Lepisosteus oculatus: one gene and its partners. The protein of the gene in region 1 interacts with the protein of each later gene in a pairwise test. Links are inferred from orthologs where the notes say so. Each region holds a gene or a part of one and is shown on either strand. Other genes may lie near its edges.

What was found.
Region 2: the proteins of htt (region 1) and transcription factor Sp3 interact in binary tests that used the Homo sapiens proteins (3 or more experiments, as listed by UniProt). The link is inferred for Lepisosteus oculatus from reciprocal best matches to the Homo sapiens genes HTT and SP3.
Region 3: the proteins of htt (region 1) and zbtb16a interact in binary tests that used the Homo sapiens proteins (3 or more experiments, as listed by UniProt). The link is inferred for Lepisosteus oculatus from reciprocal best matches to the Homo sapiens genes HTT and ZBTB16.
Region 4: the proteins of htt (region 1) and dihydropyrimidinase-related protein 1 interact in binary tests that used the Homo sapiens proteins (3 or more experiments, as listed by UniProt). The link is inferred for Lepisosteus oculatus from reciprocal best matches to the Homo sapiens genes HTT and CRMP1.

What each region holds. Positions count from the first base shown.
Region 1 is NC_090696.1:40,625,942-40,633,602, reverse strand, and holds the start of htt (huntingtin), read right to left. Parts: upstream 3,003-7,661; 5' UTR 2,700-3,002; coding exon 2,602-2,699; intron 1-2,601.
Region 2 is NC_090707.1:16,898,788-16,906,266, forward strand, and holds the start of transcription factor Sp3, read right to left. Parts: upstream 3,023-7,479; 5' UTR 2,885-3,022; coding exon 2,878-2,884; exon of another isoform or gene 2,839-2,877; intron 2,580-2,838; coding exon 2,482-2,579; intron 2,296-2,481; coding exon 2,200-2,295; intron 1,171-2,199; coding exon 1-1,170. UniProt on the Homo sapiens protein: Transcriptional factor that can act as an activator or repressor depending on isoform and/or post-translational modifications. Binds to GT and GC boxes promoter elements. Competes with SP1 for the GC-box promoters.
Region 3 is NC_090718.1:9,937,885-9,945,831, reverse strand, and holds the start of zbtb16a (zinc finger and BTB domain-containing protein 16-A), read right to left. Parts: upstream 3,019-7,947; 5' UTR 2,909-3,018; intron 2,541-2,908; exon of another isoform or gene 2,051-2,540; intron 1-2,050. UniProt on the Homo sapiens protein: Acts as a transcriptional repressor. Transcriptional repression may be mediated through recruitment of histone deacetylases to target promoters. May play a role in myeloid maturation and in the development and/or maintenance of other differentiated tissues.
Region 4 is NC_090696.1:43,014,014-43,021,720, reverse strand, and holds the start of dihydropyrimidinase-related protein 1, read right to left. Parts: upstream 3,014-7,707; 5' UTR 2,179-3,013; coding exon 1,813-2,178; intron 173-1,812; exon of another isoform or gene 7-172; coding exon of another isoform or gene 1-6.

The DNA of each region.
Region 1 (7,661 bases):
CGGTTCCACACAAGCCTCCTCTGTGGACTGACCAAGATATAGTTGACTCCTGGACATTTCCTCCCATCTCGACCACAGAGCTCAGCAACTCTGAAAAGGTTACTGTTGGCCTCGTGGTTAACTCTGTTCTTCCTTGTTCCTCCGACTGGAAGGAACAGTGTCTGGGGGCCTTCCACCTCACCAGGCTCAGAGATATTAGGGTATCTGAAATGTTTTCATTTATTTTATATTACTGTATGTATTTTAATTTTTCATCTGTTCTGATGTCTGTTTTTGCTTGTCTTGGGATGGGCTGCTGTAACACTTCCTTTTCCCTTTGGGATCAATAAAGTCTTATCTATCTCACTACCTGATCGAGGGGCCTTACCGAGTTATATTTATTCATATCATACCATTAGACAATGGCCACTCAACTAATTGTTTGTCTCATTAAAGTAATTTTGTGCACCTAGATTAACTGAGATTTGCCACGGCAATGGTTTTGAATGTTTATGCAGTCATTACTATTCCTGTTTTTCTTTCATATTATCCATTAACTCTTTCTTCTTCTTTGCTTTGAAGGCGGGGCGTGGGTTGTATATTAAACAAATATTAATTGCTACTAAAGTCACTGCAAGCTTTAAAGCAAGAAAATGTGAAAACTGTGCAAGGGTCTCAATACTTTTGGAAGGCACTGGAATAGCCTCTATAAAACAACATACTTAGGTATCTGAAAAAAGGAACAGCCTATAAATTATATTAGCTGTTTTCTACATACTAAAAGGTAACAACACAGAGTTTTACCTGTACAGTATATGCTTTGTGGCACTGAGTATCACAAAGCAAAACGCAACTCAAAGAAATTACTAGCAAACTGAGCTCTGTGATCTATGTACTGAATTGTCAGTCACTATCTTTAAGAACTCGATTGTATAATGTCACAAAGCATTCCACATCCCATGCATTCCTTCAATATACTATTCAACGACTAAGTTGAAGTTGTGTGAATACTTTGCACCTTCACAAAAAGCCTTGCATTGCTACACTACTGTAGTAGTGGATTGTTGCACTGTATATGTACAACACTACATTCTTAGTTATCTAGGGGTCAGTAGCAACCTGTTCAATGAGAATGACATCTCCGAGATGGATGATTACACAGATTTAATAAAGTAGTCACAAGACCTTTCATTGTTTAGTGTTTCCAGTACGGTGAAGAAGGATAACATATTCCAATCCCGTGAAATCACAGACTACTGATGCAACATCTATATTGTTAAAGTTAAATTCCGGACATGGAGTGTTATCTGTGTGGGTGGCACAATGGCAGAGTGGTTAGCATTGCTGCCTCGCAGTACTGGGGCCCTGGGTTCAAAACTGGGGGTCTATCTGCACAGAGTTCATATGTTCTCCCCTGGTTCATCTGGGTTTCCTCTGGGTACTCATGTTTCCAACCACAGTAGGTTAATTGGCATCTGGGAAAATTGGCCCTGGTGTGAGTGTCAGTATGTCTGCATGTCTGTCCTGTGATGGACTGGCATCCTGTCCAGAATATACCCCACCTTGTGCACCTTGCTGAGATAGGCTCCAGCTCCCCCTCAACCCTGAATTGGATGAAGCAGTTAGAAAATGGAGGAATGAGAATTAATTTTATGTAGGTTACATGTGTAAGAGCTAGGGGTGAGTGGTAGAGTTGTTTTGCACCGTGTACAATCACTTATTTAAGAGATTTTATCTATACAGGACATCATTGATACAGCAGAGTTTCTGAGGCTGAGACACTCGTAACTGGTTTCAAAAGTGATATAGACCTGGCAGAGCATGCTACAGGTAAACTTAAAAACTGTAACTGTATCATGTCTTGCACCGATGTTACAGAAACAGTAGCTTTCATACACTGCACAAACCAAAATAGGACCGTATAGTGCTGCATATACAACATGAGCGGAATTTAAAAACTATGGAAATATTCACTGACAGAATGTATTTTTAAGAAGTATTGCACAGCAGATAATGTTTTCAAAGTGCCATCTATCCTAAATCTTGAATTAACAGACGTTTTTTTTATCTTTTAACTATTATGACTAACATATATCAATACAACTGTGTCATTGCAATACTGTGTTTTGAAATTCGCAGCTCCTGTACCTGTTTGTGCTTATCACCGACACCTACGCCACACCACAAACTGCCCGACTTTCATTATCTAGCCACCCCTGCCCCGAAAACTACATACTGTATATAAAAAAAATCGATTTTCAAACAGATCTTTGTACAAGAAAACTCTAAGTTAACTTGATTCCCTGGGATCTGCACCAGGAGCAACCAGAGGTACGACTGCGTTCGCTGTTTACGATGTAGTAGGGAGTTTGGCTAATCTTTCCGTGTATTTACAAACCAACAACGAAAGAGCTTTCCAAGGCAGATGAGTTTGTGTGCATTTATTATTGATGCACCTACAGCGATCGGGTACGCAACCGCCGCAAACACCACCCGTAGGGACAACTCCAAGTAATTTACGATGACTTGATCTCGACTGTTCAATCACTGCTACGCTGCCCACCAACCCAGGGCACCGCCATTCAGTGCCCGGTCTCGTCACCTCGCTTGCTCTGTACTTACTGTTTCTGAACTAGCTCTTCGGCCGATGGTGGTCCCTGTTGTTGCTGGAATGACTTGAGAGACTCGAAGGCCTTCATCAGTTTCTCCATGGTGGCCATTTTAACAGGAATAATATTTACAAATAACACAAACAGCGGGGCAACGCAAAGACGTTAAGGAAGGGAACGGCCTACGCGCTTCATGCGTGTTAAATCCAGCCACGGGTTTGGGCTCCGCGACACCCCACCTGTCACGGGGATTTCGTTACGGTTTTTAAAAATCTATCATTTAAATGAATGGGACTTAGTTGCTGTTATATCCAATTTTGTTAGCCATCTTTGATGCATCCCATCAGCCTCCCTCCTAGCAAGGAAGTATATTCCCTGACAGCTTGAGGGGGAGCCGCGCTGTGAGTGGCTGATCGGGAGCCGCTTGTGTTTGATTGAGAGGACGGGAGAGCAATAACACGACCGGGGCTGTCTTCATCTCGGCAAGAGGGCGGCGTGGGTTTACTTACCAAAGCGGCTCAGAGGCTGAATGTACCACGAAGTTTTCTTGCTGGGAGGCTGCCTTCTGATTGGTCACCGTATTATTTTTATTGAACAGCAAAATAAATCCCTCTTTTTACCCAAAAAAACATGACCTTAAGGCCACAGGTTTCTGATCTGATGTTGATGGTAATTAGTTTGAAGATTGGTAATCAGTAAAGTGTGGAGATGAGCTTCCTGTCCTGTCAAGAGAAATTTCTCTTTTGTCCTATCATACAAATGTTGTGGTACGTGTACTGAAAACCACAAAAGCAGAGCTTCGACTCTCGTGTGTAGTACTCTGGATCCATGATCTGGATATTTCGATGAATTTGTGATAGTGGTGGCTAGCTAGTGAAATAATGGCATGTTGCATCACATATCTGGGATGTCCCTGTGGACGGTAAAGTAAGTAGCAGGGACTTTCAAATGCATTTGGGGGAAAACGGCACAATACAGCAAATGTCAGTGGTCAGTTGATATATCAATTAATATGTTTAATAGGAACATTTTTTATACAGGGTAGTGCTGTGGTTAGCATTGCCTCCTCACAGCTCTGGGGCCCTGGGTTCAATTCCAGACCTGGGGTGCTATCTGTGTGGAGTTTATATGTTCTCCCCATGTTCATGCAGGTTTTCTCTGGGTGCTCCCATAATTCCAAAGACATTCTATTAGATCAATTGGATTTTGGGAAAACTGGTCCTAAGTGTAGGGGTGTTTGTGTCTGCCCTGCAATGGACTGGTATCCCATCCAGGGTGAATCATGCCTCACACCTTTTGCTTGGTGGGACAGGCTCTGGCTCCCCTGTGACCCTGAATTGGGTAAAGCAGTTACAAAATGGATGGAAAACCACAGGAAGGGTCTAACTACTTGTGCAAGGCACTGTACACTTCTTTTCAAATTACCTAGCAGATCTGGTAAAAAAATGTATCTGTATGATTATCTGTTCAGGGAAATCATATTTATTAGCCAGGGCTTTGAATAGCATCCCGTACTCCAGTGGTTTGGTATAATTTTCCAAATGCATGCTTCAGGTTTTTTTAAAAAAAACCTGTTTGATTGCAGTATTTGTAGGTGACATTCTTTCCACAGAGGGAACGTCCTTTAAGTCTTTTTACACACCTAAAGAGCCTGCAGCCAAGAAAAGAACCCAGACCTCGTCTATTCCTACCCCTGTTGGATGGGACTCAAAAATAAGACAGTAATATAGTCCAGGTGAACTTTAACACAACAAGCCTTTATTATTAACAAATGCATTTATTTACATTTATGAAAACATAATATGCTATAGAACGATTGACGAGCATTTACACTCAGTCCTTCCAACACAGATTTCAGTTCTTTGCTAGGGGTGCAAATGTGTATAGCGCACAGCCCCCTATGGTCTTGACATTATAAAATGATCCAACACATTTTAAATTGATAATGTATTCAAATTTGAATGCTTAGACAGAAAAGTTCTAATGGTAAATTATGTTGCAGTAAATAACAGATTTTTTTTTGCATTAGCATTATAGTATTAAAGCAGTATTCTTTTATCTAGGTCATAAACAGCATGAGTGGTTTGTGATGAAAGGTCCACAATTGCCTGGTGAAGAGAATCATATGGTGGTATGTGGGTAACCTCAGTTCAAGGATGCATGAATTCAATATTTGGTAGAAACTATTGGCAGCAATTACAGCTATTCTTGGCTACCTTTTGACAGCAAGTACAACTGCAGTTCTTTTTGGGTTAGCCCCCACCAACTGTGCTTACTGACATTCTGAACTGGCCACTCAATTCCATTAACGTTCTTATTCCTAAGACTTTGGCCCTGCATTCTGGGTCATTCTCCTGCTGAAAGGCTAATGTTCCTCCCAGTTTTAGGTCTTTATGAGATTGAAACAGGTTTTCTTCTGTTTTGGTCCATTCATTTTCCATTAGTCTTCTCAGTTCCTTATGAGAAGCAGGCCCATAACATAATACTGTCACCACCATGCTTGACGCAGGGAATGGTGTTGACTGTGTATTGCAGTTGGGTTTGCATTATATGCACTGCTTTGCAATTGTCCTGTATATTTGTAGTGTCCCTTAGGTGCATTGTTGGAAATCCCATGTGAGATTGGAGATGTAAATTAAAAGATCCATACAAAGCCCCTTTGTGGACTGGCTGGGATATTGTTGACCCATGGACATTTTCTCTGATCTAAGCTCTTTCAAAATCACTGTTGGCCTCACTCTGGAATCCATAACTATTTTTTTCCTTTTCCAGTTTGGAGGTACAGCCTGATCTAGGCAGTGTCTGGGTGCCTCCTACTTCTTAATGATCAACTTCACGATCCTCAAAGAGATATTAAGGGTCTTTGATATGTTTTTATACCTATCTCCCAATCTTTTACTTTACACACATTTATTCCTGAGTTCTTTAGAAAAATACTCGGTTTTATGATCCATTCACTACCTGACCAAGGAACCTTACAGAGACAGGTCTATTATTTGAAAATCATGTGAACTGCTTTTATTACATACACACTGAGACTACTAAACTAATTCTGTGTCTTGTTAAGGTAATTAACTTAGGTTTGCCACAGCTAGTGTTGGGATATTTCTGCAATCATAACTTTACCATTTTTCTTTCATTTATCTGTTTTTTTCCTTTTTTTGCTTTAGTGTTTGGAGCAGATTGTATAAGAGACAAGAATTTCTACTTGAAAGTGTCATGATTGTAAGCTTTAAATCCAACTGTGTAAACTGAGCAAGGGTCTGAATACATTTGCAAGGCACAAGGTCTATCATTGTATAATGGCAGCCAAGCCGAATGTATAGAAGGGGTGAGAGGCAACCCTTTCCCCTCTTTAAATATGTAATATTTATAAGTAATTTTAACAAGAGATGTTTCCGTTTTCAGCACTGTCAAAAATATATATTTTACTAGCCCTTTCACCAGTACATGACACCAGGATAGTTCATACTTTTTTAAAACCACCAAAGACAATTCACACACTACCTTATTTTTCTCAGCTAAATCTGAAATTCAGCTGTTTATTTTTGGGCAGCTTTAATCACTTTATGGCCCTGCGATGGACTGCCTTCCCATCCAGGGTGTGTCCTCCCTTGTGTCTGTTGCTCACCAGTAGACTCTGGCTCCACCATGACCCTCAGTTGTTAGAAACGTGTTAGAAAATGGATGGATTAATCTCTTTATGCTCACTTAGGGAGAGCTGCCTATATATATATTGATAAAACACCTTGTAAAAAATAAGAATCTTTACTTGTTGCTGGATCCAAACATTTTTTTTTTTCCTTTTGTGTTGTAATAGTGTTTTTTAGAGATTTTTTTTTTTGGTTAAAAGAATTGTACATTACATTTACAGGAGAAAAGATCATTTTTGTAAAGCTAATGATAAAAGCTGGACTCACAAAAAGGGTTAGCAGTGTGCCTATGAGGTGATTTCATTTTTACCACAAAACTGCATCTTCCTTCAGCTTTGTCATACAGTGAATTGGTCATGTTTGTGATATTCCCACTCTGCTGCACAGCAAGATACACATTTTACTCCACAAAACAGAATAACTAATGTACAATTTCGAAACTAGAAATTATTTTTTTCTAAACTGATGGTTATGTAACCATCATGGGTTACAAGCCATCCCTTGTGTGAAACGTTAAATTCAAGAACAGTTCTCCAAGTAGTCAATCATGTTAATTACTGGGAAGCAAAATGAGCAAATTTAAAGCTTGAGTCTATCATAGCATTACAGCAAATAAAATTCAATTGGCTGAAGCACCCACTGAAATAGCTTTGTTTAAATAAAGCACAGGGAAGCTATTTTGTACAAACGGCAGTGTTTTATTTCATAATTACAAATGTCAGATATGGTACAACAACCAGTGATAGAACTTGTACAAGAAATACACTTACTGCAGTGGTTGAAAGACAAGACTGTACAACTACAAAATCGGTCACCTTGCATTAATAAAGGCGGCATCCAATATTTCTGATATGTTGGCACTGTAATATAATTTACAAACAAGAAACCTGAAGATTACTACCGATACATGCTTGATTAGTAAAACATTTTAAAACAGGCATTAAAATGCACTTTGTGCAGACATTCAAACTGTTAAAAGTATTTCCTTACCAGCAAAATTCTGGGAAACTGAATACGGTTAGATTAGTCCCTCTGATAAAGGTTTTTTTTTTAGAAAAAAGGTTTGATAATTGGTACATGGTTAAAGGCCAAAGTCTGTCTTAAATGTCCCATTTAAAATAGTGGAATGAGCCATCACAGACTCTCCTTCAATTCTTGGTTTGACGTTATTGGTAACATCTGCAACACTTCTATTTTGATGCCCTGTTACAAAAGCCCACAATGCAACAAAACTATCATTTGATTCCTGCTGTTCTTTGGGGGAGCCCAAACGTTTCTACATAACCCTTACTTTGACACTGGGTTTCTCAATGATTAAGAATGGATGCTTTTAGCAGCTTACCACAGTACATTTTCTTTGTCTGGAGTCTGACCATACTTTTTCTTGCCTTGTCTTCCCAGTCTGTCTAGAATGCTTTGC
Region 2 (7,479 bases), on another chromosome or scaffold:
GTTCTGCAAGTTCTGAACTCCCTGCACCTGGAAAGTCTGCCACTGGATCTGCCCAGAGGGGGTCACTGTCTGGGCCTGTATCAAAAAAGTCCCTGGATTGAGCAGCTGCAAGTTCTGCAGGGCTTGAGGAGAGATGGTCTGCCCTGTGGCCTGAACCTGCTGCTGGGAGAGTCCCTGGATGACCTGGGCTTCACTGGTGCTCTGCGCCTGGACCTGCTGCAGCTGGATGATGGGCTGCGCCGTGGAGACCTGGATATTCTGCACCTGGTTCTGGTCCGACAGAGCCGTCTGGATGTAGTTTTCCTGAAGGCTGGAGGGATCCACCTGCTCGCTGGCCGAGGAGGAGGACGTAGCTTGATGAAGCACACCTGTACCGTCTATCGTTTCGTGCAGCTGGGAAGAGGAGGTGGTTGGCACGTACATGTCTTGGTTAGTGTTGGAATTGTTTGCAGATAGTGTTTGGGAAAGGTGCTCACCAGTCTTTTCGGAGCTGTCCGAGTTGTCCATAGCTTGGCCAGTCATGATCAACTGGCCGTCAGAGGTCACCCCTGTAGCTATGGCCTGAGCAGCACCTGAAAGCCCTAGGGAGTCCAGATCAACACTGTTGATCGGTACAAAAGTAATATTTCCAGGCAACCCCACAGGCACATTAGTAACAACCTGACCCTGGCTGTTATATGTGGAGCTGCCGAGAGAAACTCCTTGAATCTGGACAGGCCCACCAGGATGATGAACGTGCCCAGCCTGCGATATGAGGTTCTGGCTGTTAGTAAGGATGTCTGCAGAAGATGTCCCGGCAACGGTTATGCTTTGATTCCCATCAGGCATGATCTGGATCTGCCCTGTGGCATCCTGGCCCAGAGTTGCCCCATCTACCGCAGAAGTTGAAAAGCCCAGCTGTACCTGCTGGCCATCTGCAGTCTGAATCTGTGGAATCACCTGGTACTGTATATTAGGCACTGCGCTGGCAGAGGTGTCTGTTCCTGAAGTTACAAAAATCTGTTGGTTTTGCAGATTCTGAATTGGAAGAACATACTGTCCATTTGATGTTACTATCCCTGTATTCGGAATCTGGACTAAGCCTGGTTCCTCCTTTATCGTTGCTGTAGGTGCCAAGACTTCCCATCTATTAGCTGTCCCTGTTAACTGTATGGAAGTGAGATCTGCAGGCTAAAACACAGACAAAAAAAAAGGTGACCGGAGTTAATTTTCTGCCAGAAATTCCTAGTAAATGCATCAGTTGTTGTTGTTTTTTTTGTGAACTGTAGAGCAAAAAGCACTTGGCCAAATGAAAGTCATTTTTACACTAGCATTTTACTAAATGTGTTACTAAGTGGAAATCAATAAGCCGCCAGCGATAAGATAAAAAGCTACACTTTTCATGGGAAAGTCGACAGCTGGAGGGGATTTGTAAGACATCACTGATTTATTAAAGGAGTGTAGCCTATTTGCAAAAGATCTGGGTGAAAATATAGATTTCTCCTGCTCTTTCACTGCAGGAGTGAAATTATTGTGGTACTGGTTCTCTATGCCACAAGGCTTCAGCTCAAACCTATCGATACCCTGCAGAGCACTTTCAAGTCTGTGGTACTATTAGAAATGAAGGCAAGCCAAGATTTTTCTTATAAGCTGAAGGCAGGTTTATATATTGTACATAGTAGGCATAATCGAGAAATGTAACTGATCTGAAATGGTGTAGTGTCACAAAAAAAGACGAATAAGTGTAAGGGGGCAGAGAAAACGAAAGGCTGGCAGCCTTTTCAAACATAATTAAATCACGTCAGTAATAAAAGGCACATTTAAAAAAAAACGTTTCTTTTACACTGCTTAACAAGCGATTTAACAGACCTCATCACCCACTGATCGATGAATAATTGGAGGAATTAAATTCATCTCTTGAAAGAGGAAAAAAAAGCAGCATCCGGACACCAACAGGCACTTTGAACCCACGGCCATTACACACTGCTTTTAATTTCAAACCTCAGCTCGTCGCTTTATTTGTCAAGGATCAGCGTGTCGTGATCATAATGCATGGTTGGATGTTACTCTGAACACCGGGTTTGCTTCAGCACTGGGGCTGACTTAGCGCTCTGCCGGCCGTGGCTGTTTTTGTGTTTACAGTCCACGCTGCAGTGCATTTGCACAGGGCGGGCTGCTGGTTTCGGTTCGGCTACGGTTCTAGCAGCGGGGGTGACTTACCACGCCAGCGACAGCACAGCCATCCTCCTCTGGCGATGGCGACCCGATCTTGCTGCAGGTAGCTGCTAGCAGAGCGAGCGGTGACGGCTGAGTGTCCTACCCACAATGGGCGGGTTTAAAAAGAAGAAAGTGGGTGGCCGTTAGTCCGGAGCTACACAGGAAGTACGACTTTTTTTTTTACAACATCAAATTTTAAAACGTGTGAACTTCACAAAAAACACCATGCATTTACAACAAACCTGGCAGAAGAGCAAGCGAGGGGCAGCTAGGAGAAAAAATTACCTGGTTTCCTCCGCCGCCGCCGTGCTGCAGATAGTCGCTCTGACTGCTGTCCACGTCTAAGGCAGCCATTTCCTCTTGTTTCACTGGCTTTTCAGGGGCTACAGAAAGGCACAGAGAAGAGGGAAACAGAGCAAAACAAATCATTCCTCTCCACTTTCCGCTCGCCAAAACCACACTAAACAGCATCCAAACTCCACACGGACGCACAAAACTCCCAGATTGACTCCCGACAGGATCGTTTCTGTTAGGATTTCGATGCAAATTCTTTAAAGCTTTAACTTTAGCGTTTAAATCGCAACTGCTGGCTTGTGCCGCTGCTGAAAAAAGATTAAAGACTTAAGGGTTACACAAACTCACCGGTGATGGTGTGCTTGAATCAGTTTAAATGTTACGTACCAGTCATAGCGTAAATGGTTTAAATCGTGAGATTCTCGATTTATTTAAACGCCAAACATGATTATTTTAATCAAAGGCGGGCTGCGATCGGTGATTCGAGTCGATTTTTTTTCTATTTTGATTGACGGTGCGGGAAACACAAAAGGTGGGGCTTCCAGGCTTGACGGTAAAGTTTGCGTCACGCACAGGAAGTTCCGCCTTTCTTCTTTAAAGTGATTGGTTGGTGCGGATGGTTTCCTCGGTTGGCAGTAGACAGAGGGTCCGTCGCTCATTTTTTGTAGCTCGAGTGTTTCCTGTTTGTTATTCATGGAGCTGTAGGCAAATGCCAGGAAGTTGTTCAAAGAACGAATCGGCCATTAAAGTTGTTATATTGTCACGGAATGCCGAATGTTTACGTTTTCGCTTTTTATAGAGCCTAACTACTGTACAGTGATTGTGTTATCGTTACAAAATAGAAACGAGGCGTTTGTTTCTAAACTCACACTTGAACGTCTGTGAGAAAAGATTAGGCGAATTCGTCTATTTTAACTGGGCTACAGTTTAAACTACAGTTTTCAACATTGAATTCTTTTTGTTCTAATATTTTGCTAACGATTCTTTAAAATAAGAAAGCTATGCCGAATTGGTGTACCCGGTGACAGCAAATTGCTTTCTAAAATGCACATATCCTAAAAATAATATGTACACAGGATAACTGAAGCGTAAAATGTGAAAACCTGTAATACTTTAGGGTTCAATTCAGCTATGTGCGATCACGAAATCACGCTATAAGAAAGTGGTTTATGGACGTGTTGCACACCACATATGAGCTCTGCGAAGCTGCCACAGTTCTTTGGAGTCATAAGGATAGAGCTTACTCACCGAATGATACAGGCTGTCCGCTTATGTTAAATGTATAGCACACACTGGACGTTATATTACTGTATATCCTTTTGCCAACTATTTTGAAAAAATGCCTTTGAAGTTGGATATATGAAATACACGAAGTCACAGTGTTTTAGTTCAATAAATAATGCCTTACAGTCCTCCCGAATTCCACGTGCAATGTATGTTCCACCCATCAACAAAACCTCTACCACAGAGAAACAGAAGTTCAGAGAACCTGACAGTAATATACAGTTATTCCAGGCTACTCAAAATAACGTATAATAATTATTTTCAGTGCTCATTCTAGCAAACTCACTTAAGCTTACTAACCAGATATTATCTGAACAGTAGGTTCGTTTTAACTGCCAAACATATGTGGTGTGGCGACACTCAGAATATCATAGCTGCCAGTTTAATTTACATCCAAACAGAAACTGTTGTGTGTGAAAGAAAATTGAAACTAATGGTTAAACAATTCAGATATATATACGCTGGTAAGTGGAATCCATATTGGTTCTTTATCTGATGAAAAAAGAAAAACATTCCAGGCAGATTACATGAAAAGCCTTCCTTTTTTAATGGAGAACACTTTAGGCTTACTCTTTATTTTAAAAAAATGCTGTCTAGGCATTACTCTTTCTTTTAACCACATATTTGTGTCGTCTTCTTTTTTTTGTCTTCACATAAGTACCCTGTGTTGCACCCATTGCTTTCTGGGATAGGCTCTGACTCCCCCATGACCCTGAATTAGAAGAAGCAGTTAGAAGGTGGATGTCTAGATCATATGTGCTTTTACCTTTACACCTAATACTGGATCTCCCCCTATTAAGCCAGTTTCCAAATAAGTGTGTTAAGGCCATACCACGCTTACTCTCTGTAGTAATATACTGTATATTACTATATTGTACTGTGTTGAATTACCCCCCTAATCCATGTGTTGTTATTACTCCACTGCCAAATACATGCACTTATCTCTTCCTGCATGGTAAATATTTTTAAAGTATTTTGCATTATCATATCTAGTATTGCATTATTTTGCTGTCTGTTTTATATATAAGTTTATGATATTGATCTATGCAACTATAAGTTCACTTGCATAAGGGCTTCTGTTAACAACAAGACATCATCAATGGTATCCTCGTCACCGATGGACAACAGTATACTTCACTGGCAAATTTGACAAATATTATGATTTCTGTTTTGACCGTAGTAGCCAGCACGTCAGGGGTGTGATGACAGTTTGGTGAATGTATACTTCCAAATCATGTAGAGGAACACATTAAGTGCTGCATGAGGAAACAGACTTTATGATATCCAGGTTGTCACCCTAGTCATTAGACTGTGATACCATGGAATAGGACATTTGGCCTAAACTTTATTTGGACTGATTCTGTGACCCATCACAGAAGGATCAGCAATTTCTTACAGCTTATCCCGAACAGGAAAAATGAGGATTCACACTGAGATCTGATTCTGAACGCATTGAAGCAATGTGAGATACTGTCTAGGCAACACCAGAACTCTGCAGGAGCTGTAGGACAACATTGTCTGGGACGGAGCTCTAACAGCAAGATCAGCCTCACACTTGTGGGATGTGGTTGCTTCCTGAGTGACTCCCCAAAAGATGGCGCACAACTGACTGAGCGTGACTAAAGGTGGTATGTGAGATTAGTCAGCATGGGTTCTCTCTCAGCTCTCAGTGACACAGAGCCCCCCCTCCTCCGCCTCTTTTGCAGGCATGGGGTTCTGCTGCTCGGGTATGTGCCTCATCTCCAATCGGTGCTGAACCTCCAGTACAGGATTGTGTTGCTCACGTTGTGTTAAAAGACAAATCCTAAAGATGGATGTGTCTGAGGAATCTACCTACAACTGTGTGCAGCCAAACAATTTGCACTTGCGATTCAGACTTGTTAAATAAATGTTTGTCTTTGTATGTGCTCTGCCAGTTTTGTGTTGGTATAACATAATTGGCATTTCTACATGTATGAAGTAGGTTTGTAAGGGTTTCATCAGGTGGTACGGTGGCTCTGTGGCTAAGGATCTGCGCCTGTGGCTGGAAGGTTGCCGGCTCGTATCGCGTAGCTGGCAGAGGAATCCTACTCCGTTGGGCCCCTGAGCAAGGCCCTTAACCCCAACTGCTCCAGGGGTGCTGTACAATGGCAGACCCTGCGCTCTGACCCCAAGCTTCTCTCCCTGTCTGTGTGTCTCATGAAGAGCATGCTAGGGTCTGTGGAAAGACTAATTCCTAATACAAGAAATTGTATATGGCCAATAAAGTGATCTTAGGTGTTTCAAACTGTTTTCACTACATCCTGAACGTATACAAATACATAGGAAGTGAGACAGCCTAAAAAATGTGCTCATGACCAAACATGGAAGTGAAATTTCACATGCATGGAGGATGTAGTGCCATCAATTGTTCTCAAAGTCTCTTCTCTTTGTTTTGCACTGAAGGTTAAACTGCATATCAAGAGCATGTGCCATTCAATAAATTCACACAGTATTCATGAAAATCCTGATCCCCAGCAAATGCTTATTAGCAGATATTTCATCAACACTTCTTTACTCTAGCCACAACGCTTTTATATTATCAAAGGGTAACTGAGCCCTCAAGCATCTATATACAGCTACTGTATGTTAGTGTGGAAAATACCTCATTTCATTTTAATAAGCGGACCTTGAACTAAATGAACCCAATGGTATACAACGCCATACTTCACTATAAAAACTATAAAAAAATACAACCCAATTTGCCTCAAGTATCCTGCATATAATAGACTATACATTTGGAGTTTTACTGAGTGGAAACATATGCCTTAATTCAGATGCAGGATTATACAAAACACTGTGTTGGAGTTAATCAACAGGCCTGTTGATGATACTCAGTGGCTAGTTGGTATCCTGAATGGCTTTCTCCAAGACTTCATTGGTAGATCGGGTTGTTTAAAAATGACAAACCAAATAAGCAGTTCTGCATTTCAAAATCATCAATATTCCCTACAACAAGCTTTTTTTGTTCCTAAACAGAACGTTTGACATATTTACATGTATTTGGCATTATTGGAGTGACGCATGCAATTATAGTTGCAATTGTTTTTTAGTTTCTTCTATTGTAGTAAGCAAGATGAGGGAAATTGTGCTTAGTATTGCAATTATCTTGTGTCTTACCACATAGCAAATATGCAGAAATAATAGATAAATAGAAAAAAAAACATGCCTGCATCTCCATTTTGTGGAAACCTTAGACACAAATGCCCTGTTTTCATCTGTTACCAACAGGGAGTCTGATTTCAAGTTACTATGTGGACATATTGTCTCAGCCACAATTCCCATCAGCAGGGCGTAAATTTAAATTTTTTCCAACAAAGACTATGGGGCATCTGGTATTGATTTACATATTGTTATATGTCCTTATATATTTCTGTATGTACACAGGATGAGTTCCCATGCATATACAGTATGCGTTCCTTTAAAGTAAACTACGAGTAACTGATGTTCTTTGGAAAAACAGACCTCTTTTTAACAAACCCCAAGATTCAAAATAAGCACTACTGAGCATCCTTCATGCTGTGTCATTTCCTCTGATATTGTGATGGGAACAGAGTGATTTCATCAACCTGCAATTCAGGCTCTGACCATTAGAGTCGGACTACAAAGCACTTCCCTTGCGCTCAGGGGCTCGTGGAAACAAATGACGGATACTTCTAATCACTTTCCTGTCACTCCTGGTGGCAG
Region 3 (7,947 bases), on another chromosome or scaffold:
ATGGTTTAGACCTCTGTGAACTCACAAAAAGAAAACTTAAATCACGAATGTGCACATTTGTAGACGCAAAAAATCCTTTACATTTTTTTAAACAAAAAGAGCAGCATTAGACGAAATCTATCAAGCCAAGGTCTAACTTTGATCGAGATTCCATATTTCCATTTTCATATCAACAAAAACTTTTGCGCATTTAAAAGAAAGACGTTTTACTTTTTATCGATCCTACCAGGCATTACAAGCGTAGCAAACGAATAGTTTACACATTAATGGTGAGTAAAGTGCATTACCTAATAAAAATAAATACAGCATCTTTCTGGTCCATAATACTTTCATCGAAAAAGGGTTATAAGTGCATTCAAAACACAGATTAAACCTAATCATTGCTAGTAAATCAGCAGACTGTACAGATACAAGGGAATGTGACTGGTTAATCAAACGGCTGCATTCACAACAGGGAGGGGATTTCAACACGAAGCATTCTTGTAGTAAGCATTCAGTACTGTACATAAACTGGAGTTTTCTTTAAATTGTGAAAATACATGTTAAGAGTTACTTGCCTACTTTGGGTTTTGAGCAAATGTAACACCACATATTATGTAAACAAACACCACAAAGGTACATGAATGTGTGTACACAAACATCTTTAATATTTTATCATCTTTATCATCTGAGGCTTCACTTCACTTTAGACTGGGAATTTTCTTAAAGCCTACCAGAAAACATTTTTCAAACTCTTAAGTGTAATGCAACTCATCCAACGCACGAAATAAGACAGTCCAGTTGCTACTGCAGAAAAAAAAAACTTATTTTTGTTTCATAGTTTTATTTTAAACGTCTTAACACGACGTTCATCTATAAATCGAGGGAAAAGATTTAACACGTTATGGACCTTCGCGCATTATAAGCAAAAATAAATTACATGGCACATAATATCCCCTGAGTATTTTAAACATGCAAAACTTCTTGGGAGCACCTTTTACATCGCTTTTTCAGAATAAAATCAGAAATAGCCCATTTTGTGCTTTCTTGCCAAACATAATACAATTCGTAACGCTTTCAATGATACGTTTAAATCTGTAACGCATTCTGTAACGATATAATTAAAACTAAATCGATATACAATATACTGTATGACATCTGAATGTGGGGTTAGGGTCATCATGCGAAAGAAGCACGTCTACTGCACATATACTGACTTGATTTACATGCTATTGGACGTCGGATTACGACTTCAATTGAATTTCCACTTACTGTGTTATTTATAAGACATGAAACGTCATTATTAACCGTTGCGCGAAAAAATTAAAAAGTATTAGCAGAATAGTAAAACACATGGGAGAAAAGCACAAACTTCTGAACGTATTAAGTAGTTTATAAAATATTCCACAAAAATATCAACTGTCTTAATATACAAAGCGCACAAGATTTACTATCATGGCACTTTCCAGAGCGCAAAAGCAAAAGTGCTTCGTGTTTTAGCTAATATTTCTTAAGGAGTAAACAGTTATAGCAGGCTATATTTTACTATAAATGTTTTGAAGCACGGTTTTATATTACCCACAAAAAGTCGATACATTGTGGTTTCAAGAAACAAAACACCGCACTTTTACAACAGCAATTTTTAATTAATGCTACCCCTGCCTAATTATCCACTGTACTCCGGGCTTCAACGTAGACTGTATCGTTAAACACAGAATGCGTACCGAGAAACAGACCAAAATAACGCATTTCCCGAAAAAGAAAACATGTTATGGAAACGCTAATACATATTTATAACAGTAACAGAACAACACCGTCACAATGACTTACTGAACATCGCTGCTTCTCCGAGATTTCGGAAAAAAATAATCCACTACCCGAAAAAAATCTCTCCCAACTACAATTGATTGAATCACGCTTTTAATTGGTGACTTCAGAGAAGCCACTGATTAACCCACGTGAATCGCCTATAGTAATTTCTCATAATGCTAAAATAAGAAACATTTGACATGTTAATTCCATGCTGGATTATTTGATTCTTTTAAAAGGCACCTAAGTAGTAAAATCCTACCTTGCACGTTCACTGTTACAGAAGACCTTAAAAATAATTTTCTTTGCCCGCAAAGGCTTGCCTGCAGAAAATTGGTGGCTTCAAAAATCTAGCGATTTATTAGCCCTTAGCTACCAATCCAACACTTTCTCGTCTGTATGATGTGCAGTATCATTCCGTCTGATCTCTGTGCCCAATAAATGTTCAGCTTCCTAACCCACACCGGTGTTGGTAATAATTTCACACCACGGCTCCCGCGACCACTGTCTGTAAACGCATCAAGTGCATGAAGCCACTGCATTTGTTACAGCTACTTCACAAATATTTACACATAAAATGACCCTGTACAATGGTTGTGATGATAATATGTTTGTATACAGTCTTCCGCAGATTCAGAACATGGGTATCTCCTCATATGATAAAGCTATTCACAAGGTAGGCACTGTCTGCTGAGCAGTCAACTGTACAGTCAGACCACACGTTTCTCTTGTTGCGATCTCCAGAATACTAAAACAGCGAGCAGCGTCAACATCAGAATTCGTTTATATATATATATGATTATAAATCTCTCAAATGGAAACAACTTTGGATTTCCAAATATCATACAGTAATGTCTCATTACTTTTGCAGTGTATTTCGCAAAATGCGAAAACATCCTCCCCCTCCTGAAAGCGATCATGAAGACCTCGATTTAGCGACACGGTATTGGAGACAGTGTAACTTCTGGGGGTTTGTTAAGCGTAACATTACCGACGAGTTGGTCCTTTACACTTTTACTGTACCAACAGCAGAGCAAAAACAAATAAGCATGCAGAGTGACGGGACTGTTTGCTATGCATTTGTGTAGAAGCTGCTAGCCCGTAAGATATGTGTACTTACCTAGGTTGCACGTTAAATTTCCGAATGTGTTGTTATTGGGGCAGCAGCATAGTAACGCAACAGTTCACAGTACCCGCTCTCACACGCACTAGCTCCTCTCTGCTTTAGGGTTAGCAAATCAACACAGTGGTGACGTCACCGCACTGACTCACTCTTTTTCTTTCTTTAGCACCACAAAACGCTGCGAAAGTGAGACACCTAGGGGGCTGCCATCTTTAATGCTGGCTTTAAAAAAACTACGGAGAAAGTATTTTCGAGCGTGTGTAGATACAGTAAATTACAGAAGCGCCATGATTAGTTTTGGTGTGCTTCGCCTTTTGTTTTTTGTTTTTCAACCGGAGTTTTAAATCTGGCACGTGTGGAAATGCTCTTTTAAATAACATGCGCTACAAATGACGGATTACGGGGCTGTAAAAGAGTAATGTAACAGGCTAAAATCATTTTACTGACAGAAAAATGATGGAAAGGAATTGCGTACTAAATTTGGAGGGACGTGTTTAGGAACTAATTATGCCATACAGTAAAATGCCATCAGCCTCAGGTTTTTTTAAAATAGCACTGTCTAGACGGTGAAATAACGTTTAATGGAAAATGTTTGTGAGACTTGAATACAAAAACGTGTAAACTGTCGTCCTGAAATGATACATTTTTAAAAATATATGAATGACTATAGACTTTTAAGTACAAAATGCATGGGGCCGCGTTATGCATAACACTCAATTTGTTAAAACATAACGTGTAAGAAGCCTATAAATAAATAATTCTCACTGACGCCAAATAAACAGGTGAACAATGTTTGTTTTTGCAGATCATTAACAGGCATTACAACTGCCATGTATATAACACACACGCTGCAAAAAAAAAACCCGATTTATTAGCAATATTTAAGTCATATGTTGCGCGTGTTAGATTCAGTGCAGCACATTTAGCGGACCTTAATCAGATGTTTCAAATGATGTACAGATCCCGTCAATAGAAGTCAATACTCCGTGCGTCGTGGTGAGCAAAAACTGTATTTCAACATCACGCATGTGATCCGCAACTTCATAATTGTAAGTGAATTCCTGACAGTACCCCGCTGTCACGGACACGGTCTTTTGCTCGATCAGTTGCGTTTTGCAGGTCACTTGTAGCGCCTAGATTTAATTTAATTAGGCATCACTGTAACATGTAACAATGTAACTATGGGTAGTATCTGATTAACCAGGTCTAAAAACAAGTGCTGGACAGCGCTAAAGCATCGCTTCTGCCAGCATCAAATATGGAGTCGATGATCTACACATTTTAAAGATACAGCGCACATGCAAAGCCCCGATTGACATACTGTATTCAATAGTATCCTCGCTGAGTTATCAGATTTTCTGAAGCTACAAGTATTGTTCCACAAGTACTATAGCAGTTTGCTCTACACTGTATCCCGTGACAGACACGGGAAGACGCAACTGCTTAGTTGTACATCAGATTCCTCCAATGCACTGAACGTTTTGTACTTGAAAGATGAAACAATACACTGCGCCGTCCTCATAATTCCTAAAAAAAAAGTGACATAATTAGTCTTTAAATTTGACCTGCAGGTACCCGTCATTAAAAAATAGTAGAGTATGAGAATGCATAAAAAACACACCACTTTTGCAGGTTATTTTTATGGATAATAAAAATGTTCCCACCAGTAGGTTAAATGTTATTCTTAACACTTCTTTAAGTTACAAAATTACACTTAGAGAAAAGGACCCATTGTGCCAATGACTTTTTAAAATAACCAGTCTATTCATATGACTAGTGTGTTCTTCAAGCTATGAATATTCCATGAAAGTAACAGCTGATAGACTCATGTTATAGACATTGTTTTAACAATTTGAAATGCTTTCCTGGGGTGGTTTTCCCTATCTAAAATAGCTACACAGTTAAGGCTGGTGTATAAGCTGTTAGTTCTGCTTCCTTGTACAGTAAGTCTCTGTTTTAAAGCACATATACTGTATACGGTATTTACCATTAAACTTTCTACATTGCGGCATTACCCACGACTCAATTGTTTTTCCTTTGAATGATATACATGCACTGTACCCATAAATGTACTCTTGAAATGTAAAGGCTGAAGTGCAGGATACTGGCCTTAATAATGAAGCAATATTACTATCATCATCATAATTATTTGAAGTAGTAATAGCGATAGTACACCTAAAGTACAGTATGGTATTTAGATTTTAACATACTGTATAGTTTGCATTTGTATTAGTTTAACAGTCTGTTAATTGCTTTTCTAAATGATTTCCTTTAGCTAGCTGCATTACTGCATGAAGTTAAGTTTTGAACTGTGTTATTTGGGTGTTCAAAAAGGTGGTAAAGATGAAGGTGCTCTGTGTATTGTGTAAAATCTGTTTCGATAATCACAAGATAAATAACCCCGTATGCATTTTTAAACACACACAATATGCACTGTTGTGATAGAAAATCATAACCTTTTCAAGGATTCCAAAAATATACATAAGATATCAGATTGGAAATGATGGCACTGAGCAAGTGTTAGTGATGGAAAAATGCGCCTTTCATTCAATGGAACTTTAGATGTGAATATAAAGTGAGCAGCAGAGCAGTTTCTTCATAGGGTACAGATTTTTGTAAGAAAGAACACTATTTTATTGACCTATGAAGATACAGTGGCATATTATTATTATTATCATTATTGAACTATATGAACTAACTTATTTCTGGTCACACCTTTATTAGTACTTGAATACAGATTTGTGTGCAGCAGGTCTTCCTTAATTTACTGTATGTGCAGGCATTGGCCTAAAAAACATCAACTCAAGAGTATATTGTCTTCAGAGCTTCAAAACCCAGAACCACAATGCTCATAAAAAAATAAACTGTGGACTCAGACTGAAAGCCTTGTTGCTTGCTTCAAGAGCGTGACTATTAATTAATCCATACAGTGAATAAAATACTAACCAGTATTCTATATGTTCCAAATACCCATTGTTGATTATTTATGACTACCACAGATTGTAAAAAGAAATATTTAATATACATATGGCATTGACGAAAATATTATAATCTTTATTCTCCAAATAAAAAGGCAAAAAGTACTCCACCACGATTAAAATTTCAGGGTCATTCAGATTGTGGTCACAAGGTACTTTTTAACCTCTGTGCTTTGGTTTCCTGAGACTTACTTCTGGATACAGAAAAAAGGAAAGGCCTTAATCTTCAATTAATCCCTGTTTCACTGAGAGAAAGGGGATTGGTGTCTTGAAACAACACTCGGCAGCGAGGAACAACCACAAATATTCATTGTGAAGAAATCTTCCTTTCTGTTTTCTCAGGCCCTGCTTTGAAGCCTGGGGGTGGTTAATGCCGTTAAAGTGAGATTAATGCCTGAGTTTAGGACGAGTAAGGTGAGAGAGGGAGGCTGGGCTTTTTCGGCAGTTTGCCAGCCTTTGACACAGACTATGGGCCACTCTGATTCAGAGTCAGAACGAGGAGCTGCAAGATAACACCTGCTGTACACAGCTGAAGCCACTGATCTGAAAGCAAGTGCTCTGATAACACTGTAAAACATTTATCCATCTATTAATGACAATGAGGTGCAGGATTGCAAAGTAAAAGTTATGGGAGATGGTATTGGGACTCGTATTACACACAGAGAAGAAAATCTGTACTGTACATATTCCAGCTTTCAGTTATTTTGTATTATGCCGAAACTCTGCTTTCCACAATCCATTACAAACTGAGACTGGTAAGCACTTGCATAGAAAATCAATTTACCTATACAACTGTGGATTGCTGACTAATACATGTGATCCCCAGACCAAATGGTGAGATGGTAACAGGGAAAGCTTTGATCAGACCCCGACTCTCACCTTGACTACAGTGGACACCTTGAGTCTAAAGTACTTATCTATAGTCTATAGTCTGGTATGTACTTTAACTCTATATACCTTTGTATATACTGTACAGTACAAAGCAATAGGAACAAACAGCATCATATAAAATAGTTTTGAATTTGACACTGTAATCAATATAAATCAACTATACAGAGACCTCTGAAGTTTTTCTGCTTCCCTAGAGTTTAAAAGGAGGTAATACCTGGAAAACAGTCAGTAGTAGCGTGCATCATGGTGGTTAAGATCAGAGAGCTCTCTGATATCTGCAGACAATTGATCATTGAATTCCACAAGCTGGGGAACAACTATAAAAGAATTTAAAGAAAGCAATCTCTTTCCATGTAGCATCCATTATAAAAAATAAAAAACTTAAGGCTAGCATCATTGGATCAGAGGGAATCGTGAACACCAGCACATACCAGGACAGTTTAGACAAACACATAACTTCCTCTGCCACAAAGCTCAAACTTAGCCAAAAACAGAACAGCATAACAATGCCAAAGCATACAGTACATCCAGATCTACAAAGAAATTGTAAGTGCACACGAGAATGAATGTTCTTGACTGTCTATTTCACACTCCTGAAGGCAGTTCAGAAATGGAAAGCAAAGGGTCTGAAGTACCTAGAGCAATACTGCCTGGAGGAATGATCACAAATCCCTTCAGAAATGCCAAAACCTCTTCTGAATCACATTACAGAAGGCATTGTGTCAATATAAGCTATGCCAGAGGATTTATTTAATACTAACTAGTGATGTGTGAATAAATATGAATCTAAATAATTTATGATAAATATGACTTTGCTCTGTGCAGTGCTATTAAGATCACACATTACACATTGTCCAATCCATAGATCATTCTGTTATGTGATGTCTCTATTTTAGCAGACTATAAATAAATCAGAAGGGTGCTGTATAGTAATTATAAAGTTGTTTAATACAGCGGTTTGTAGCCTTTATCAACCTACCTATTCACTAAAAAAACAGAGGCTTTTTCATAGTGTCACTTACAGTCTTAAATACTTAATACTATTGAAAGGGAAACAATGGCTTTTCACACCAGACTTCCAACCTTTAATTTTTAAAACAAAGTAAAGCATCAGGGCACTGCACCTTTCAAATGAATAAAACCCCCCATCTTTTCACGAAATATTTA
Region 4 (7,707 bases), about 2.4 Mb from region 1:
AGACATTCTTGCTGGATATTCAAGATAACGATCGAATTTTTTTAAAAGAAATCACCAGATCCTTTTAGACCCACTTTCACTATGATCAGTAAATCTGCCACCTTTATGTAGCAAATAATAGATGGACGAATCTCCCTACGGGGAGTTGCTACAGTATCTAGAGCTCCAACTAAGGGCTGTAGCGCCCTCTGCATCATAAAACCTGAACGTTTGCGAGGGGCAAAGGAGACAGTCGACATACAGTACAGTACGGCAGCTACTGTACTACTATAAAATGGTAATACTGTAGCTTCTAAACCCAGTTTAAAATACCTCAGTAGATCAAGACTTCATTTTGAATTTTAGGTATCTTTTTCCTTCATGGTTAACTTAAATAGCAGTATTGAACACTTCCTTTATCTTGTTGCCACCAAAGTATGAGTAAATAGCTGACTTGCTCTGATTGGTATTGTGAATTTGACGTACCTCTGAAAACATTGTTAAGCATATACTGTAGCCTGCAATGTAACTGAAGATTGCGTTTAAACCGAAACGCTCACTCCACCAAAAGGGATCAATATATTATTGTAGCCACAGATATTTAATTGAGGAAAGTACTGTAATACAGAAAATCTCATCAGCTTTTTTCAGTTCTTAATATTGCAGTGCTACAAGCTTTAAATTATTCTAGTAATCTAAAAGGTCATTAACACGTAAAAAATACACAAGGCCTTTAACAAATAAGAGTAAACTAGTGTCGAAAGTGTATGGAAGTACAGTATACTGTACGTGCATGCTGTCAAGCTGTATGTGAAAATGAATTCATCCAACGAAATAATAATCTAAAGAATCAAAATCCTAGGCTTCTGTTTATTGCATCTTACATTTTTTTTCCATTAAAAAACGAGACAGCAAAATACTACTCTTGAAATCCATGCACTTGGTATCATGCTGTGGCCTTTGTATGAATGAATACATGCAGATTTTTTCACACCATACTACGTGCTACCAAATTGGTAGACAAAGAAACGCCTTGTCTGCTTCAATAGTCTTTTAAGTTAATTGCACATACTGTATGTACGCTTTTACAACACTGTGTCTCAAAAGTTAAACTGAGGCATTCTCACAATCTTACGTTAAAGTCAATTGAAGCTACTCTACCATGCATTTTTTATAGTTTCTAATTAATCAATGTGAATTACTGCATTAAAAAGTTTTCTAACACAAAACCAAGACATCTGTATCTTCATAAAGTAGGTATAATGGCTTCTAGTTCTCTAAAAAAATTTGAAGCCATATCACAGACCAAAATTCTTAATTAGATTAAGCAGCAAGAAGCAATTATTTTGTGATATCAAAACCTTCACATTGCTTCAAACTATCCAAGCAGGGTCAGGAAAAAAACGTACGAAGACGCTAAGCGATGCGTCCGTACTGCATCAATACCAAACAGCTTCATTTCGGCAATAAGGATGGAACCAGCGATAATACACCGAAAACCTTGTTTGTGCCTGAAGTAAGGTGAAGTTAAAAAATAAACCACAGCTGTCTTGGTTTACAAATGCCAAAGCCATACTAGGTAATAGCTCAAATGCGAACTTTTTTAAAACAGTGTTTCTTGTTGTATTGAAAAAAAGCAACAAATTAAATATGAATGAATTTTATATTAATCGTATCATTACGTTTTCTGTTGGTTATAAATAAAGAGCGGGGTTTTAAAGAACACGTGAGAAACAGTTATGATAACACAGTACATGCAATCTTTCATGGTCAGTATACAGTATGAGTAGGATTTATGCTTTTAAGTCCTAGAGTAATGGATTTGTATCCTACCTTTCCATTTTCCTGTCCCTGTAGTAACTCCTTGCCAGCTGGATATTTAATTTCCACTCCCAGGGTCTTATCGTCCCTGTCGCTGGGGGAACTGATAATCGAGCCGGAGACCTCGCTCACATCACTAGCTGTCTCGCTGAAATTGTCCCCTTCCAGCATCTCCCGGCTTCCACTCCTCGGGGTACGGTTCCCTTTCCTCCCTACGCTGTAAGAATCGAAATCTATGGTCTTGTTCTCGTAGGCCCCCTCCACAGAAGCAAACATTCCCCATGACTTTTGCCGCGGGGTCTGTGCAGTGGTACCTGGTCTGGCCAAGTAAACTGGCAAGTCATCTTCTTTATTCCAGTTTCTCCTACGCTCAGCCATCCCAATGCGAGTCAACAGACGGAAAATCCAAATCCGATCAGGAAACGCTAACCATAAATGAAAAAGAAGCAATGCGGTAAATTTGATCAGCTCCAAAAATAAAACACGCTCCTCTGGTCACCGCTACCGCCAGCTGAGAACCAATCACAAATAGCTGCAATTTGATTTATAAAGACAGCGAATCCAGTATTCCTGTTCGACCTTGGCGATTACAAAGGAGTACTGCAATGCACTGATCCTCTGGAGCAGCGCAACTCGAGGGAAAAATACCAGTTTGCGCCGAAGTCTGGCTCCAGCTGGAGAACGTAGTTGCTATACATCAACCGCTTTGCAACAGTCTATCGATTGTTCAAGAACATGGCCAATTAGCTAAACTAAAAAGCAGCTCCAAGCACTAAAACAGTTGCAGAATAAAATATTTTCCCAGTTCTTTGAAGCGCAAAACCTGTCGTTAACAGAAAAGGATGCTGCAGTGAGCAGGAACAAAGCACGACAACGGTTAAAAGATGTATACCCACGGTCCAGAAAACCGTTTCCTCATTTTGCAGACGACTCCGTTTACAAGCACATGGATGGTAACGAATGATAAAAATAACAACAAAAACTTAATTCAACGAATAATCCTTAATCGACTAATGCAATTATACCCATAGCATGCAGGTGTCTTCATTTACCAACCAAGAATTTCAATCTGGATGAAAAGCTTATGGTCGTGAACGATTAAAAACGCCTTCTTTTAAAATAAGCCCCAACCGTAAAGTTGCAAGGTGGATGTGAGTTTATACGTATGTAGCGGTGGCAAATACTACTGTAGATGTAAGGCATGTAAGGCACTGACACGGAAGTAAAACGTCTTGCTACTGCGTACTTTTAGCATTGTCTGCACCAGTCTTTATTCACAGCTGATGACTGGTTAAATTACAACGCCAAGATGACTCAAACCTCAACGATCTGTCATTGCAAACGCAAAACACATCGCTGGTTGTCTCACATAGTTACTGTATATCGGAATACACTGGGAGCTGTCCATCAGCACTTGCTGTAGTTTTGCCTTTAGCGTGCGCCACACACATTTTTTTAAGCTTTTAAACGTGGTACTGCAATGTAGGCTTTAGTACAGGAATATCCACCCATTTTGATTAATAGCTTTATCCTTAGAGAGTCGTGTTACTACTGTCCAAGCAAACCGCATGCGGTTAATTTTTTCTTCTACACTGGTCAATTGAACTAGTCAGGCTTTGTTAGTGTGGATCAATGATGGCATAGAAAAAAAAATAATTTACTGTCAAAAGCTTTTTGCTGAAATAAGGCAATAAAAAGGACGTTTTAAAATCTATTGCATTTAAGTTATATTAAAATGATGAGGAAAGAGACTGGACAAAGAACTGTGACCTTTATTATCTTTAATTAAGACTTCTGCATTTTAAAGGCTGACATACAGTAGATGTACAAGTAGCTGCTATTACAAAGGTTCTTGGCTTGACTTCCGAGACCCATTTCAATGATTCACAGCCAAAGATACTTTTAACATAACATACACCAGAGAAATAACACTACTAATAAATTAGTTTTAAAAAACTTGATTTAAAGCAGAATTATTCCACTCATACTCTCAATGACCACAGGCTGTTATGTTATCTCACATTTTTAAGCAAGTCAAGCTAAAGCTGACGTAACCAGGCCTGGAAGGCACTTCACTGTTTTACTACATGACTGAGCAGTACTTAAAAAAAGTTCATTATGTTCTTTACATTTAATGTATTGAAACATGTCATTTAAATAACGAACAGCACAAATATTAAAACTAGAGCACACATCTAATATGTTTACTTTAATCATAATAGTATAATAACAATCATATACTGTACAGTACAGCAAATAATGACTGTTGTACAAGGTAATAAGGGAAAAAGCCTGGTTTTCCAGTCCTTTCAAAAAGATATCCCTCAGTGAGCAACAGGACATGCTGTTTGACTAGTGTATCTCCCAGCCACGCTGTCACAAGTTACATGCTTTTCTTAAGTAAGGAATGGAGAAGGGTGTGTGTGTAGGGGAGCATTCTTTTTGTTAAGGAGTGATCTCCTTGTTATAAGAAGTATCGCAGTATAAGAACACTGCCGAATAGATTCAAAAACAGTTTCATCCCCCAAGCAGTCTGCATCTTAAACAGCTCAAATTAGCACCTGCATATATTTGCACCTGCACTTTAAGGTATGGCACTGTTTGCACTGTATCCTGTCTTGGCTGTATTATAACATCTATTGTCTAAATTTATTGTCCATGTCTGTTTGTCATTTGTGCCTATTTTTTGTTTTTTTCTCTAATGTTATTTGGTACAGCCAAACAAGTAAGCATTCCAATACACTTGTTGTATATGGCAAATAAAGAAATCTTGAATCTTGAATCTTGAATCTTGATTCTTGAATCTTGTTGTTCTATACCTGTATTCTCTGCTGTATAGCAAGGCTGCTGATGGAGAATTACTTCCATGCACCAGATACTCAATTCCAATGGAAGATGAATTGTTCCCCTGTCATTGTTCCAATGTAAAACTACACCATTTACCATTTACCCCTATCCAAAATAATTTTCTTTTCATTTTTTCACCCTTAAGAGTGTTCAGTTTGAGCATTCACATTTTCGTTAAATATTACACATCACCTGCAATTAGAAAGTTGGACATCTTTGGAAAGGGGTCCACACACCAGTAGGTACACTCATTTAATTTCAGTGCAGCAACAGATTGGAAGGAAGTAGTTTTGGATCAGAAGCCTCACTATACAGTACAGAATAAAGGTATATTAATACACAAATATACAAGTATATTTAGAACTGAGATAAGCAGGTAGTTTTAGCACAAAGGAATGGAGGTCTGGAACAAGCCACCTAAACATGTTGTAAAAGCTGATACCCTAGTGTCTTTAAAGAAATGTTTTAGTAGCAACCAAATAGGCTAGATGTACAGTAAGCTGTCTCATGTTCCTTAACAAGAAAAAAGTTGTTTTGTCTCTAGACACGAATAGATGCTATTGGACTGACACAATGACATCTAATAATGTATCTGTATTTAAAGGGATATAATTGAAGAGGATGTACATAAAATCCCACTTTTTTTCTTAGGCACATTTTCAGCTCTTACATTCATCTTTTCCAGGTTCATTGGCTAATTGACTAGAGCGACTATTAAAATGCGTAAATAACTTAAATGAAAAACATTAGGATTGAGGTCTTTTGTAAATACAGTAGTTCATATTCCTTAAGTCATAAACTGCTAATAAGAATTACCTTGTCTCCAGATGTAATACACCATAAAGTAAGCAAAAATAATATAAATGTATGGGTTATTCAAAGTTTAACTGGTAGTACTGAGGAGGGCTAATTTTGTGGACAATTATTAAAAATACCACAAATGTACCTTTGCCTGAAAAATATTTAAAAATGCTGTGTGTGCTTCTAGTAAAGAAAAATAAAACAATTCATGCTGCAATGTTTTTCTACTAAATTTATTTTTTTTACAATTTTTACAAATATTACAGAAATCAATACATCTTAAAATACAAAAATACATTTGTATTAACAAGATAATTGTTCGCGTATTTACAATTAAATACAAGTATTAATAATAAAGCTACCATACACAGAGCATAAACCCAAGGGAAAGCTCATATAGTTTCACTCTACTACTAATCTTAACAAAAGTAAATGCTTTTTGTAATCACACATTGCATGTCTAGACATTTATACACAGTGAAAGGCCTTGGGTTGCAATATACAGTAAGAGCTGTAAGATTGACAAAATCATGACAAACATCATACAGATGTATTATGGTGCTCCTTTAACTAAAAACCCAAAGGCACAAAGGGGATAACTTTCAAGTTCTTGTCATTGTTTTTTTCCATGTGTAGGAAGGGTTTTCTTTTAGAAATAAAACGTACATTAAACTAAATGAATATGAAAATAGTTCCAACACATAAAAAGTCATTTTAATTCGATAAGGTAAGCATGGTTGTAGAATAAGTGAGCAAAGCGGATTAAAAATCTTTGGAATTAACCCTGCTGTATTTGGTTAGATCTGAAATTGGACACTACTGTAACAAGTAAGCATAATCCTATGGTCTGCCCCCTCTCTGCCTCCATAAGGCACTAAAGGATTTCCAAAGGATCTCACTGACATGCCATTAAATAAATTGACATTCTGTCCAGTATTAGCAAAAACTCTCCTTCTAGTGTTATGTTAAATTAGTAGATATATACTATATATACATAAAGTTATCCATTCATAAGATATCTGCTAGGCTGATTGTGCCAAATGCTTAAATGAAAAACAAATTATTTATGAAATAGAAACAAGCAAGTGATTAAAAGTATACTACAATTGTATCACAGTGCAGTATTTTAAAAATGGAAAAAAACAAACAAACAGCTTACAGTATGACTGTGAAATACAAAACTTTTTCAATTTTATAAAGAGCCCACAATTCAGTATTTAATTTCAATCAGTTCATGCTCTCTGGATTTTTCATTATGTGCAATATATTACATATTTTTAAGGGAAATCTGTGTTCATAAACTGGGCAATCTGTACAGTATGTTCTTAATCCAATGCATGTTTTTTCAATGTGTGTCTTGTGTGTATAACTGCACATAAACTTGCACTATAAACTGTTCCCTAACACCTTTTATTGAGTTTCCTCCTCAGTATTAGTCTCACCTTGGAAATGTGATGAATGTCACTGTCCTCAGTTGGTAAAGTCTGTTTCTAGGTGAAAAGGCAAGTGTTCGTAAGCACCCTATAAATGCTTAATACCAATGTAAAGGCATAAATAACCCTATAAGAAAACAGGAGCTGAGATTTTAAAAATAATGTATTGGTTATAAAGCTCATGTTATACACCACCCACTTAATTTTTGATCCAAGCTTCTTCTGTCTTATAACCATTCAATGTTTATTTGAATACTTAAACTCATCAAACCTTTTAACATTTAAGCCTACTTCATAGTTTACGTTAACAAAGTAGCAAGAGGCAAGATATTCTGCTGAAATAAGATGCTTCCTAAATGTTTTTAAATGTTTAATACTTCAATCTTAAATATAGTGTCAATTTTAGAACTGATTTCCCATGAAAAACATGAAATATATACATACTGATAAACTTTGTACACGTTGCACCATATGTTTATATTGTAAAAGGAAGCAGCAGAAAATAAGTGTAATATTAGGTAAGTGGCAATTTCTAATAAACAGTTATAAATAGTACAAAACAAATAGTACTATAAGAATTTGCTGAAATAAACAGTAAATGACATACACAATAAGATACATAACAGTTTTATAGCTTGGTAAACAGCAAACCTCAAAGTTTCAAGAACATGGTCATCTTTAAAAGAGATGAATACACCAAAATACTTGGAATGTATAGACAGATCAAATTTGAAGAGAAAGGCAAGAATTTGGTACCAGGCCTAGGTTATAGCATTGCTGATTAGTAACTAGCACCATAGGTTTGTGCATGATAAACAGTTTACAT